Mus musculus: one gene and its partners. The protein of the gene in region 1 interacts with the protein of each later gene in a biochemical or structural test. Links are inferred from orthologs where the notes say so. Each region holds a gene or a part of one and is shown in the gene's direction. Other genes may lie near its edges.

Region 1 (4,185 bases):
TTTATAAAGGGTTGTATTGTAGTATAACTTGTACTTTGGTGTGTTTTTAATTTGTTTTTTAACTTAAAAACATTTAACGCTTTCAACTAATTGGAAATCTTTACCTTACTAGCAAATATTTATCTGCATTATCATTACTAATAGCTTCACATGTTTCTTTTAATATTAATGTGTTTAATAGTTCACTCAAATTCCTAATTCAAGCTATTTAGGAATTTTCAGTGTGTATTACAACACTGATAAAAAAATAAAGATTTAAACAAAAGATCTGCATAAATTTCATATGAAAAATTTTAATGATACATTTTTATATATTGGAGCAGGTTCTCTGGAAGGGCCTTAAACACTGAGAAATCTCCCTAGTTCAACCTTGAATTTCTGACCCTCTAAACCTCCACCACCAGAGTTCTGGGAAGACAGGCATGCACTTTACACAGTGCTGGGAATTGAACCCACGACTTTCATGCCTATCGGGCAAACACTCTTTATTTTTGGTTTTTCGAGACAGGGTTTCTCTGTGTAGTCCTGGCTGTCCTGGAACTCACTCTGTAGACTAGGCTGGCCTCGAACTCAGAAATCCACCTGCCTCTACCTCCCAAGTGCTGGGATTAAAGGCGTGCACCACCACGCCGGGGTGGGCAAACACTCTTATCGACTGGTTTACATCCCTAGCTCCGGCTATTGCCCGTTTGAAAAATAAAAAAAAATTTTTAAGGATTTTTCTTTAAAATCTTGTATTTAAAGTAGTTCGGTGATCATCTTATCCTGAGAATGAGCTCACAAGTAAGGCAATTTGGGGACAGTGAGAATAAAAAAAAACAAAAACAAAAACAAAAAAACCCTTGCAAATGCATATTCAGTTTTACAAACGAGAAAGCAAGAGTTCCTCAGTGAACCGATTTCCAAGATATGTCTTCTGCAGTGATTCGAGAGCGTCGGACACTCGGCCCCTTCTCAGCATCCCGAGCACGATCCCTAACCTCTGCCCCAGTTCTTTCAACAGGTCCTTAGGGTACCAAACCGTGGCTCCACACGGTCACAGCGTGTGTGGAGGGGACTTGTAGTAGCGACGTACCGGAAGTGTTCGTGGAAGTGACCGAAGTCAACTCACGACTGATTGGCTCTTCGGAATAGTCCTTCGCCTCCTTTTGCTTGCCACTGGTTGCTCGTTTTGTCTATTTGAACAATCCCCGCCCTCGAGAAGCCGGTCCCGAAGCTCCAATTCTTCATGATTATTGGTGGATGTTCCTCCCCATCTTCGAGCTCGGCCCGCTGATTGGTTGTAGCGCTTACGAGCCCGCCCTCCCCACCTCCCTGGCCTAGAAGACAGCGGGGAAGGCGGGTGTTGAGGCTGGGGGCCTGAAGCGGCGGTACCGGCTCCGGCGGCGGCAGCTGAGGCGGTGGCCGAAGCCGCGCGGTGAGTCTGGGGCCTGGAGTCGGGCGCTTGCGGCTGGCGGGACGGCCAGACTCCCAGCCAGTGTGGGCCGTGCTGGGGGAGGCCCGGGAAGCCGCCTGTCTGAACCGTACAGCGCCCCAGCACCAGCTCCGCGCCCTCGGGGAGACCCCCGCAGGCTGGCGGATCTGCTCCGGGCCTTCCGTGGAGCATTTAGGTCTCCTTCTCGGGCTCAGGACCTGGAACTCCAGACCCACCTACTGACGGTGGAGCCTGTCCCCAGGAGCTCCAGTTTCGGGATCTGCCCCCTACACTTCACCATGGAGACCTGCCAGGAACCCAGACCTCCGCGCCCACGCAGGGTCAGCCTCAGGGTCACGCCCTCCCTTCACGTTTCAACCTTTCAACTCGAATTCCCCTAAGGCATTCTCACAACCTTTGGGATTTGTGACTCAAATAGTTACTTTGAATCCAGCCTGGGGCAGCTGGCTTGTGGGTAAACCTTCAAGTGACTGTCTAATTACTGACGTGATGAGAATAGAAAGTCCAAGTCGGTCTCCTTCCCGCTGCCTCGTGTGCTTACACGCTCAGTAGTGGTTTCTTCCGCTCTAAAACGGCCCAGTTCCTTTTATAGTATTTTATTCCCCCTGTAGTGTAGCGTTTGAAAGCCTTTCAAGACTATTTTACTCCTTATGTTTTGTGTTTATCCCTAACCCCGGCATGACCTTGAATTTCTTGCCTCTCCCTCAGTGCTGGGCTTAAAGATGTGTGGCATCGTGCCTTGGTTATGAGGTGGTGGGGATTGAACAAGGGGTTCTGTGCATGTTAGGCTGTGTCTCACAGATTCTTTCAAAGCCAGAGTGCTTCGGGAATTGTTTTTGTTTTTTAGTATACTCTGGCAGGATAGGTGTATATGTTAGTTACTGCCATGGCATAGTGGGCTAGCCCCTTTTTAATGGCCACTTTATTGGGGTCCCCTGGATGGTAAACTTATTGAGGGAACAAACATCACATAGTTGAAAAATGAGTGATAGTGTTGAGCTCACCATTTGAGTGTGTTGCTATTTCCTATGGTGTGTGTGTGTGTATGTATGTATTTGTTTCTAGAACTGCCTTCCCAACCCAGTGAATGCCTGTTCGTCCTATGAAATGGTGCAGTACTTGTATATAACCTTTTGTATGCTTTAAATCACACCTCCCTTGCTTTTACCTTCAAACACTATGAATGGTTGTTATACTGTACCATACACTATGAATGGTTGTTATACTGTACCATACACTATGAATGGTTGTTATACTGTACCATACACTATGAATGGTTGTTATACTCTACCATGTAGCAAATAATGACAAGAGCACTATTTATTGATGGGGGGTGGGAGGTGCCGTGCATGCAGTGGTGTGCACGTTGATGTCAGGACAAATTATAGGAGTTCTCTCCTTTACCTTGTTGGTCCCAGAGATCGAACTCAGTCATCAGATTTAGCAGCAAGCTCCCTTTCCCACTGAGGCATCCCTCCCACCCACACCCTAGGATATTCTGTCCATCCTTGGTAGACTCTCCAGGTTCAGAATCCATGGATGAGACGAGCTAGCCATGCTAGTACCCTGCACAGCTGCACTATGCCATCCATACAACAGCCTGTAGCCACATGTAGCTGCTGAGGTATGACCGATCCAGATCGGGATAGTTGAATGCGAGATTTTGGAAACTCGGTCTCAAAATGAGTTTTTGAATTATTGGATCGAGTACGCCCTGTGAGTTTCACCTGTTTCATTTAAAATTACATGGAGGGCTGGCAATATCTCAGCACCTAAGAGCACTTGTTGTTCATCCAGTGGACCCCAGTTGTCAGGCCACTCTCAACTGCCTGCAACTCCTGCTCCAGGGACTCCAATGTCCTCTTCTGACCTTTGCAGGCTTCTGCACATATGTGGCATACACTCAGATAGTCATGCATAAATAAAATAAAATAACATAAAATGACTCACGTGACTTGTATTATATTTCTGTTGGGCCAGACTGCTGTAGACTCCATACACTCCTGCAAATGACAGTCTGAGGAAAGGAGAAACCTTAGTTTTAGTTCTCTCTCTTCTGCCCTACTCCTGACTTTAGACCACATCTACAATAGTTATAAAAGCGAAGAAGAGCTGTGTGTTGCACTCCCAGAAACACTTTTAAATGTGTAAATCCTCACCTTATCCCACGAGTTAGGCTCTTCTACTGAGGTGCCATGGAAATTGAGGAGTCTTAAGTGTCCCCCTTAAGGAAGGTGACTTTGCCTCAGGATTTAAGCCCAGGTAGTCTCTGGAGTCCCAAGCCTGGCATAAATGAGTGGAAATCCGTGTTAGGAAGGCCACAGAGGAATTTACTAACAGAGTTTATAGAGTATTGAAGGATGGGGCTGGGGACGGTGTTCCGTCTCGGTAGAATGCTTGCAGCATGCAGAGCCCAGCTTGGAATCTCAGCACCCTTCGACTCCTAGCTTGGTGGTTCCAGGCCGTCAACTGTGGCGTGAGTTCAGGGTCATGCTATGAATAGAAGACTGGCTGAAAAAAATGAAAGAAAAAGATTTTTAAAGGGGCCAGCAAAATGGCTAAGTAGACAAAGGTGCTTGCTGCCAGGGTTGACAGCCTGAGTTTTATCTCTGGGATCCACATAAAGAGACAACTCCTGCAAGTTGTCCTCTCACCTCACATATGCTGTGGTATGTGTGTGTATGTGTGTGTGTACATAAATAAATGTAAGTTTAAAATGTTTTAATTTGAAAAAAAAATGTGTGAAAATA
Region 2 (3,644 bases), on another chromosome or scaffold:
TGTCAGCCTAGGGCAAGGCACCATGCCAGGACCAGGTTGCTAAGTGTGTTTGAAGAGCATGTTTCTTTCTTTAAAAAGCCAAAGACAATAGTTTTAAATTTTTTCTCCCCTTTAAAAAAATATCTGGACTGAAAGTAACTTTGACCTGTGCTCCTACAAAAAAAAAAAAAAAAAGGCTCCTGACCCCAGCTGCCAGCTTTGTCACTGTGTGTTGCCAGTTCTCAGACCACACAAGGCAAGGACAAGCAGGGGTCCAACAGGACATCTGTGCTGGCCTAATCTAGGGACAGCTGTTGGGCTTGGGTGTGTGTGGGCATGTGTGGCACACACCCTGTAAGTACATGTACAAATGCATGGCCTTTTTGTAAATTCTGCTTAAGAAATAGCTTTGGCCAAGGCTGAAATCCGGTTGTTGTTTTCTCTTCCAGGGCCTGGTGTGAACTACTCAGGGTGTCAGATCACATGGGCTAAATTCTGCAAAGTAAGTGATCCTGTTGATTCCCTCAGTTAGGAGGTAGGTGTGGGGTGCCCAGGACCCCTTTCTCCAGCAGCTGTCAGGAGCTGCCTGAGGATAGAGGAACCTGAGGGTGTAAGAAGGCTCTGGCAGGAAAGAGCTGGGGTGAGTGGTGGTGGACTTGCTTTCCCATTCTTTTCTCCAGGAAAACATGGCTGGCAAGGGCTTCTCCTTCTGGGTCTGGCTAGACAATATCATCGACCTTGTGAAAAAGTATATCTTGGCCCTTTGGAATGAAGGGTAAGGTTAAACTCTGCAGTAAGGCTGCCCTGTGTAACGAGTCACCTACTCCCAGCAAGCCCGTGACTGGTTGTCCTTGGCTGCAGGTACATCATGGGTTTCATCAGCAAGGAGCGGGAGCGGGCCATCCTAAGCACAAAGCCCCCGGGCACCTTCCTACTGCGCTTCAGCGAGAGCAGCAAAGAAGGAGGGGTCACTTTCACTTGGGTGGAAAAGGACATCAGTGGTAAGAACGCTTGCCTCCTGTATCACTTGCTCCACCTGCTGGCCACTGGCAGCACCCGGCTACTTCATGTTCTGGGTACTACTGCCCCCTGAAGGGCAGAGAGGGCCTGTGCCTCCTGAAGAGGTGGCCTGCCAGTTTGTCCTGTTCACTCATTTGGCTAACATTTGTGTAGAAAAGTGTGATTGAAATCTTACTTCTGTACTCCCTTTCCTGCCTACCCCGTTAATACATTTGCGGCAGGTGTTTTTGCCTATGAGCCAGCTGGATCTCTACAAGCCCGCCTGGATATTGCCTCAGTTCCAAGTCACTGGGCAGGGCATTCAGAGTCTCCAGCACTCACTCCACTGGCATAATCTCTCCTTCCATGGTCCGTGACAGGCAAGACCCAGATCCAGTCTGTAGAGCCATACACCAAGCAGCAGCTGAACAACATGTCATTTGCTGAAATCATCATGGGCTATAAGATCATGGATGCGACCAACATCCTGGTGTCTCCACTTGTCTACCTCTACCCCGACATTCCCAAGGAGGAGGCATTTGGAAAGTACTGTAGGCCCGAGAGCCAGGAGCACCCCGAAGCCGACCCAGGTAGTTGTTGACTTTCCATGGCTTTGCCTTCCTTCCTAGTGAGAAAGTACGCATCCTTGGAGAGACAAGGACATGGCTGAGTATCTTGTGGGAGCAGGGCTTGGTGATTCCTTCTTTTGGGAAAGAGTGGTTTATTGGGTTCCTTGACAGGGTGACTAACTCAGGATTCAAGAGGAGGACAGAATCAGCCCTCAGGGAGCTTGGAAGTCTGAAGATGAAAATAGTATCTCTCCCTCTTCCTCTCTTCTCCCTTTCCATCTCCCCCTCCCTCCCACCCCGCCACTTTAAAACACTAGAAAGAGAAATGAAGGCAGGTCTCTCTGGTGCTTCTCCAGTCAGTGGGTTCCAGAAGACCCGAGACAGATTTGAGTCCAGCATGCTTTGCTGTCCTGAGTGAGCAGTGCCAGGAGTCTGAAGAAAGGCTTTCTGGGGCAGTGGCTGTTGGCAGCCTGGGGCAGAGCTGACATCAAGCTGGAGGTGTTGATGTTCCAGAGATGATGACTGGAGGGAATGTGGACTTGGCATTTAGAAACAAGATGCATCTACTCTGTGGGAGTGCGTGTGGCTGTAAATCAGCATTTCTCAGCCTTTCACGGAGCGCTTAAGACTATAGGAAAACAGAGATTTCCATTATGATTCATAACTGTAGCAAAATTACAGCTATGAAGTAGTAAGAAAAAGTAATGTATGGTTGGGGTCACCACAACATGAGGAGCTGTATTAAAGGGTCATAGCATTCAGAAGGTTGAGAACTGCTGGTATAAATTATATGAAAAATAGAAATTATGTTGTGTTAAGTCTGTAGTGTCTGGGGCGGTCCCAGTGTAAAGAGTCAGAGGTGTCTGGTCTGAAGCCATTTCAAACTTGTTGCATTGACGCTTGCCTCTGTCCTTATGCTGGTGAGGAGTCTGGTTTTCTAAGACTGTTGTTGATCATTGCACATGCTGAGCTCCGAGGTGCCCTGTGTGAGCCGGCCTCCTTGCTCTGAGGTGCCCTGTGTGAGCCGGCCTCCTTGCTCTGAGGTGCCCTGTGTGAGCCGGCCTCCTTGCTCTGAGGTGCCCTGTGTGAGCCGGCCTCCTTGCTCTGAGGTGCCTTGTGTGAGCCGGCCTCCTTGCTCTGGTGTTTTTTCACCAACCGCTTCTGTTCACATAGCACCTGCACACAGCTTCCCCGGCTCTGCCCACCATTCTTGGAGGAGTCGCTTGTTGACGGTTACTTTCCTTTCCCTTTGTTCTGCTGTTGAGTTCTCTTCATTCTGTGGAGGAGTTCAGCTCTCACTTCCTGTCTGTCCCTTATCTCTGCTTCCACCTTGCCTTCAGTTGGAAGATCTGTTTATCAGTCCCTCTCACACTGGTCTTTGTTCTTTTCACAGAGGACTTTGAAGTCCGAGCACTGATCCTTTTGACTAATTTTGCTTTCAAGATCCAGGCCCCTGGTCAGGCATCCACCTCCATCACCATTCCTGTGTAGGCTGCCCAGAGACATTCCTCAGGGGCAAGGCCTGGGCATGAGAAAGGAGCCCACTGCCTGATGGGCTTGCCTGTGAGCCTAGGGAGAGTGCACTGGGGGCTCCGGAGCCCGATGATGGAAGGGTAGGGGGTTCAGATGATCCCCTTAGGGAGGTGAGCCTGTATGTCCCTGTCCTCTGCCCCTGCTACAGGAGTATTGCAGTAGAGACCTCCCCGGAGCCTCGTCCTGGGTCTTCCTTGTCTGTCAGGAGGCTGTAATATACCCTGTGCTCCTCTGGAGGGATTTTGAGCAAGTTCACCAGGCAGCAACAGGATGTTCCTTCTCTCTTCCATCTCCAGTCTGTGTCCCGCACTCCTACCTCGGGCCGGGTCAAAGAATATTTCTCTCTTGACCACTGGAGAATGAAAGTCTTCTCTTCTCCGCTCTAACTTATTGTGTATGCATGTGTGTTGGGGGTGGTCCTTGTTGGAGGACCTTGAGGGTGTCAGCTCTCTCCTTCTACCATGTAGCCCCTGAGGACAGAGCTCAGGCTTGGTGACAGATGACTTAAGCACTAAGCCATCTCCCTGATCCCCTCTGTCTCTTTAAGGTGACAGTTCTCACTCT
Region 3 (4,187 bases), on another chromosome or scaffold:
GTTTTTATGTTGATGCTTCGGATTTAACCGTGGACTTAGTGTATACGTGGTAAACTGTCTACCAAGTGAGCTGTGTTCCAAGCTTCCCCTTCCCCGTGTTTTTTTTTCTCTCTCTCTTTCACGGTTTAAGACAGCGTCTTAACATGTCTGGCCCAGGCTGTGCATCAAACTCGCCACAACCATGTCTGCCCTCAGCTTTTCTGTAATGCTCCTGTCTCAGTTTCTCTGAGCTAGCATGCCCAGCTTAAGTCTCTCTCTCTTCTTTCTGTGTCTGAGACAGGGTTTTGCTGGGTAGCACAGGCTAGAATCCTCCTGCTTCAGTCTCCTCATTGCTGGGACAAGTGTGGACCACTTGAATGCTGAACTTGGATGTTGGACTTTATAAACAGGCCCTTCCCTGAAATCGTAGTTCCAGGAAATCTGGGGCCTCTAGAACAACCAAACAAGGCAAAAAGCAAAACCCCTTTCAACATGCTTCTCCCAAAGGGAGGAAGGTGGCCCAGTGTGTTCTCTCAGGCCAGCCCGGACAACAGTGAGAACAGGGTTCTGGCCCTCCCTCGGCTGTCAACTTGGGATCCTCCTAGGGCTTCAGCCTCCTCACGGTCGGGATTATAGGCATTTCCTACCATATGGAGATTGATTGACACAGACACTGTAACCGATTGGACATGCATTTTCCCTTCCCTCCCTAGTGACTACCAGACAAAGTGCTGGAGTGGAACCCAGTCCAAGTACTATGCGGATCTTTGACCGGTTAACTCTAATCCTCCCAGCCCACAGTACGCAGAGCTTCGATCCTGCCCATTCCTCATCAGATTTATATTCGGTTCCTAGCTGGCTGGCTAGGTCCCTCTTACTCTTCCACTACTCCTTCCAAGTCCAGGAATGTGCGCTGTGCAGCCGCTGCTCTGACTCCTAAAAACTGTAAAACTGTAAAAGCTGTAGAAACGTTAAGAATGGCGAAGGATCAGCCCACCCTTTCTTCTCTGAGGATCGGCCTGGGATCGAGAGGTCACATCCTAATATAGAAAGCAGGCGGTCTGGTGCGCTGAGACGCTGCCACCAAATCGGAGAGTTCTGCCACCGTCATCCCTACCTAGATCTTCCCAGAGTCTCGGGGAGGAACCAGGGAACCCAAGGGGCCCACACTGGGGTTCCTGCACTGGAGAGGACAGAAGCTGCCTAGGTCAGCAGCTGGGGAACCACTTGCAGGCAGCGGGCTGGGGCTGGGTGGGGCCGGGCGGACCGCAAGTCTCAGGGGGCGTGGAGCCCAGGCGGAAGGGGCGGGCCGGGCACGAGAAGGGCTGGGCCGAGGTGCCGCGGGGTTGCTGGAGGGTCGTGGGCGGCGTGCAGGAGACATGTCGGCGGGCAGCAGCTGCAGCCAGACTCCCAGCCGGGCCATCCCCACTCGCCGCGTAGCCCTCGGCGATGGCGTGCAGCTCCCGCCCGGGGACTACAGCACCACTCCGGGCGGCACGCTCTTCAGCACCACCCCGGGAGGTAGGCGCTGGCCGGGGTCACGGGCGACCTCGGGGGGCTGGAGGATACGTCGGGATCCGGAGTCTCACGTGCGACGGGGAGGGCGGCATTCGAGGGGTTCGGTAGCTGGCCAGAACGGACGAGGGGCGTCGGGAAAGCAGAAGGGTCACCGTCTCGGTTGCTCGCCTTCTGGGTGTGGTGGAGCGTGGTCTGGAACCCGGCTGCAAACTGCCTGCATTATTAGCCTTTTCCTGGGAGATACGGCAGAGTGCCCTGAGCATACAGATAGGCACTCTGCCAGGACCACCATGTGCTTAAGGGCGACCTCTGTGGGTGTCAGGGCAGTTTGGGGTGGGACAAGATCAGGGAAAGAGGCTGGCCTGGAGATTAAGTTTAGTTGATCTCCCTTGGAATAAGTGACGCCTGCACACTTTTTTTTTTTTTAACCTTTCCGGAGGCAGCCCTCTTTGCTTTGGACACTCGCTCATTAATGGAGGCTGGACGCTGAGGGTGCTTCTCTGCCACCTGTGGCTTGTGTTAAGAGAGAGATTCCTGCAGGGGCGGCGTCTGGTGTAGTGCAGAACAACACGTTCCTCGGGCCTGGGGGGCAGGGCACAGCGTTGAACTGGCCCAAGTGGCGGAGGATGAGGAAGAGGAAGCTGAGTTGGCGCGGGTGGGGGCCGGCCTCCGGGAACCAGGCATTCCCAGCTTGCCCTGGAGCCCCAGTATAGACGCTGATGAAACCTACCCGCCTGTTTGCATGATGAAATCCTCGTGGCTCACTACTTCCCTCCCAATCCTCGCGCCGCTCCCACCCACTTTTGCGCTTCTCCCCTCCCCGGTCTCCTCCCCCAACTACTCCTCTTACAACTCAAAAACAAGAGGAATCCTGGCGCGGTGATGAACCTTGGGCTACTGCTGGCGCAGCCGGGCCACATGCCTATTTTCTCGGGCAGCTGTCCCTGCACCAGGGAGCACAGCCAGATCCCAGAACCAAGGCACCGATGAAGGGATCTTGGAGCTCAGTCAGTGTCCACTGGGTTCTGTGATCTTCAGGACACAGCACCAAGGCCTCGCTGCTTGAGCACGTGTCTGTTGTGCATCGTCATGCTGAGTTCCTACACTCAGCAAGAAGTAGCAAGCAGGGCAGGGGGAGAAAGCCGGCTCCCTCTTATTAGAAACGGCCCAAAGGAAAAGTTTTCTGCAGGCTTCTGGCCTCCCGTTACTGGAGTTCTTCAACCCCGCTGGCCACTTTTTAGTTCACGCTGTTGCCCCTTTGTCTTTTCGCAGAACTTTGTGTTGAGCACAAAGTTTCACAGAGAGTTGAGTCCTTTTAGGCGAGGTGTGAATCAGGGTGTATTTTTTATTTTTATTTTTTATAGGCACCGATACAGACCTAAAGGCTCTGGGAAACGTTTATTTTCTCTCTTGCCCGTCCCTTTCTGGATGAACAGGTTAGCTGGGTAGCAATAGCCAGTACTGTTTGTAATGCACTCTGATCCACTTCTCACTGTGGTCTGCGAAGTGTCCGTTGGCAGACCAGGTAGTTCCCGTTGTCTTTGAAGAGGAAGGGGTTTCCTTAGAGTGTAGCATTTGCTTCTTAACTGAAAGAAAGCAGTGTCAGGTCCCCAAAGCCAGCTGGCCCTTGTCAGATTTTTGTTGCTGTTGTTGTTGTTTGTGTGTCACACAGTCCATAGCTCGAGGAAAGACTTGCTTGTTTCTGCCAAAGCCAGTTAATTTAAGGAGTGGGATCTTTTCCCAAAGGCCATTCATTCCAGGTCGCCTCTGCTAAAGGGCAGAAGCTTGACCCATTTGCTCCAGAATGTTTCTCATCACTTAGCACCCCAACGAGATACGGAATCCGAGTGCAGAGGTCTACAGGGTGAGTTACGGGAGAGCCAGGGCTACACAGAGATCCTCCTGCCTCACCTTACTGAGTGTTGGTAATTCCGGGGTTAACAGCTGTTGAATACCCTTTGGGCTATTTCTCTTTGCTCTCATCTATTCTCTGCAAATCCATCTAACTTTTGAATTTTCTTACTTGTATCAGGGGCCAGCTGGGAGTTCAAGGTCAAGTGAATCACCCTGAGGTCTACTCTGTCCTCTGGATCTATGGGCGTATAAAGCCCATGAGCTTGAATCAGGACTGAGTCATCTGCCTAACCATTATATGCTTGATTGGCTCACATTCCATTTTGAGTACTCAGGAGTTACAAGGGAAAGGGATAAACAACACACAAACAAAGCCCATACACGCACACACACACACACACACACACACACACATATACACATATATGTATACACACACACACACACATATATACACATATATGTATACACACACACACACATATATACACATATATGTATACACACACACACACACACACACACATATATACACATATATGTATACACACACACACACACACACACACACACACACACACACGGCTTTTTTCCTTGCCTTTCCAGATCTTTAGGAGTCTGGCAAAGTAGATCTCATATCCAGGCATAAAGTCAGGTTTCTTGAACTTAAGCTTCCTATACTCCTTGGCATGTGACTTGACCTGTAAGGGGCTGCAAGCTCTACATGAAGAAATACTACAGGAAGCTACTTCAGCTGAGAATGGCTTTGAAGCAGCTGCCTCTGGAGACCAGGGCACAACAGGTGGCCTGAACCATCTCCATTCCTGGGACTCTGG

Evidence for each region.
Region 2: the proteins of Mtor (region 1) and Stat3 form a complex in vitro, tested with the Homo sapiens proteins (2 studies listed by BioGRID, with this or other methods). The link is inferred for Mus musculus from reciprocal best matches to the Homo sapiens genes MTOR and STAT3.
Region 3: of the proteins of Mtor (region 1) and Eif4ebp1, one has a biochemical effect on the other in vitro, tested with the Homo sapiens proteins (29 studies listed by BioGRID and IntAct, with this or other methods). The link is inferred for Mus musculus from reciprocal best matches to the Homo sapiens genes MTOR and EIF4EBP1.

What each region holds. Positions count from the first base shown.
Region 1 is NC_000070.6:148,447,271-148,451,455, forward strand, and holds the start of Mtor (serine/threonine-protein kinase mTOR), read left to right. Parts: upstream 1-1,311; 5' UTR 1,312-1,417; intron 1,418-4,185. UniProt on the Homo sapiens protein: Serine/threonine protein kinase which is a central regulator of cellular metabolism, growth and survival in response to hormones, growth factors, nutrients, energy and stress signals.
Region 2 is NC_000077.6:100,891,001-100,894,644, reverse strand, and holds part of Stat3 (signal transducer and activator of transcription 3), read left to right. Parts: intron 1-428; coding exon 429-481; intron 482-659; coding exon 660-754; intron 755-840; coding exon 841-980; intron 981-1,358; coding exon 1,359-1,571; intron 1,572-3,644. UniProt on the Homo sapiens protein: Signal transducer and transcription activator that mediates cellular responses to interleukins, KITLG/SCF, LEP and other growth factors. Once activated, recruits coactivators, such as NCOA1 or MED1, to the promoter region of the target gene.
Region 3 is NC_000074.6:27,259,051-27,263,237, forward strand, and holds the start of Eif4ebp1 (eukaryotic translation initiation factor 4E-binding protein 1), read left to right. Parts: upstream 1-1,276; 5' UTR 1,277-1,358; coding exon 1,359-1,500; intron 1,501-4,187. UniProt on the Homo sapiens protein: Repressor of translation initiation that regulates EIF4E activity by preventing its assembly into the eIF4F complex: hypophosphorylated form competes with EIF4G1/EIF4G3 and strongly binds to EIF4E, leading to repress translation.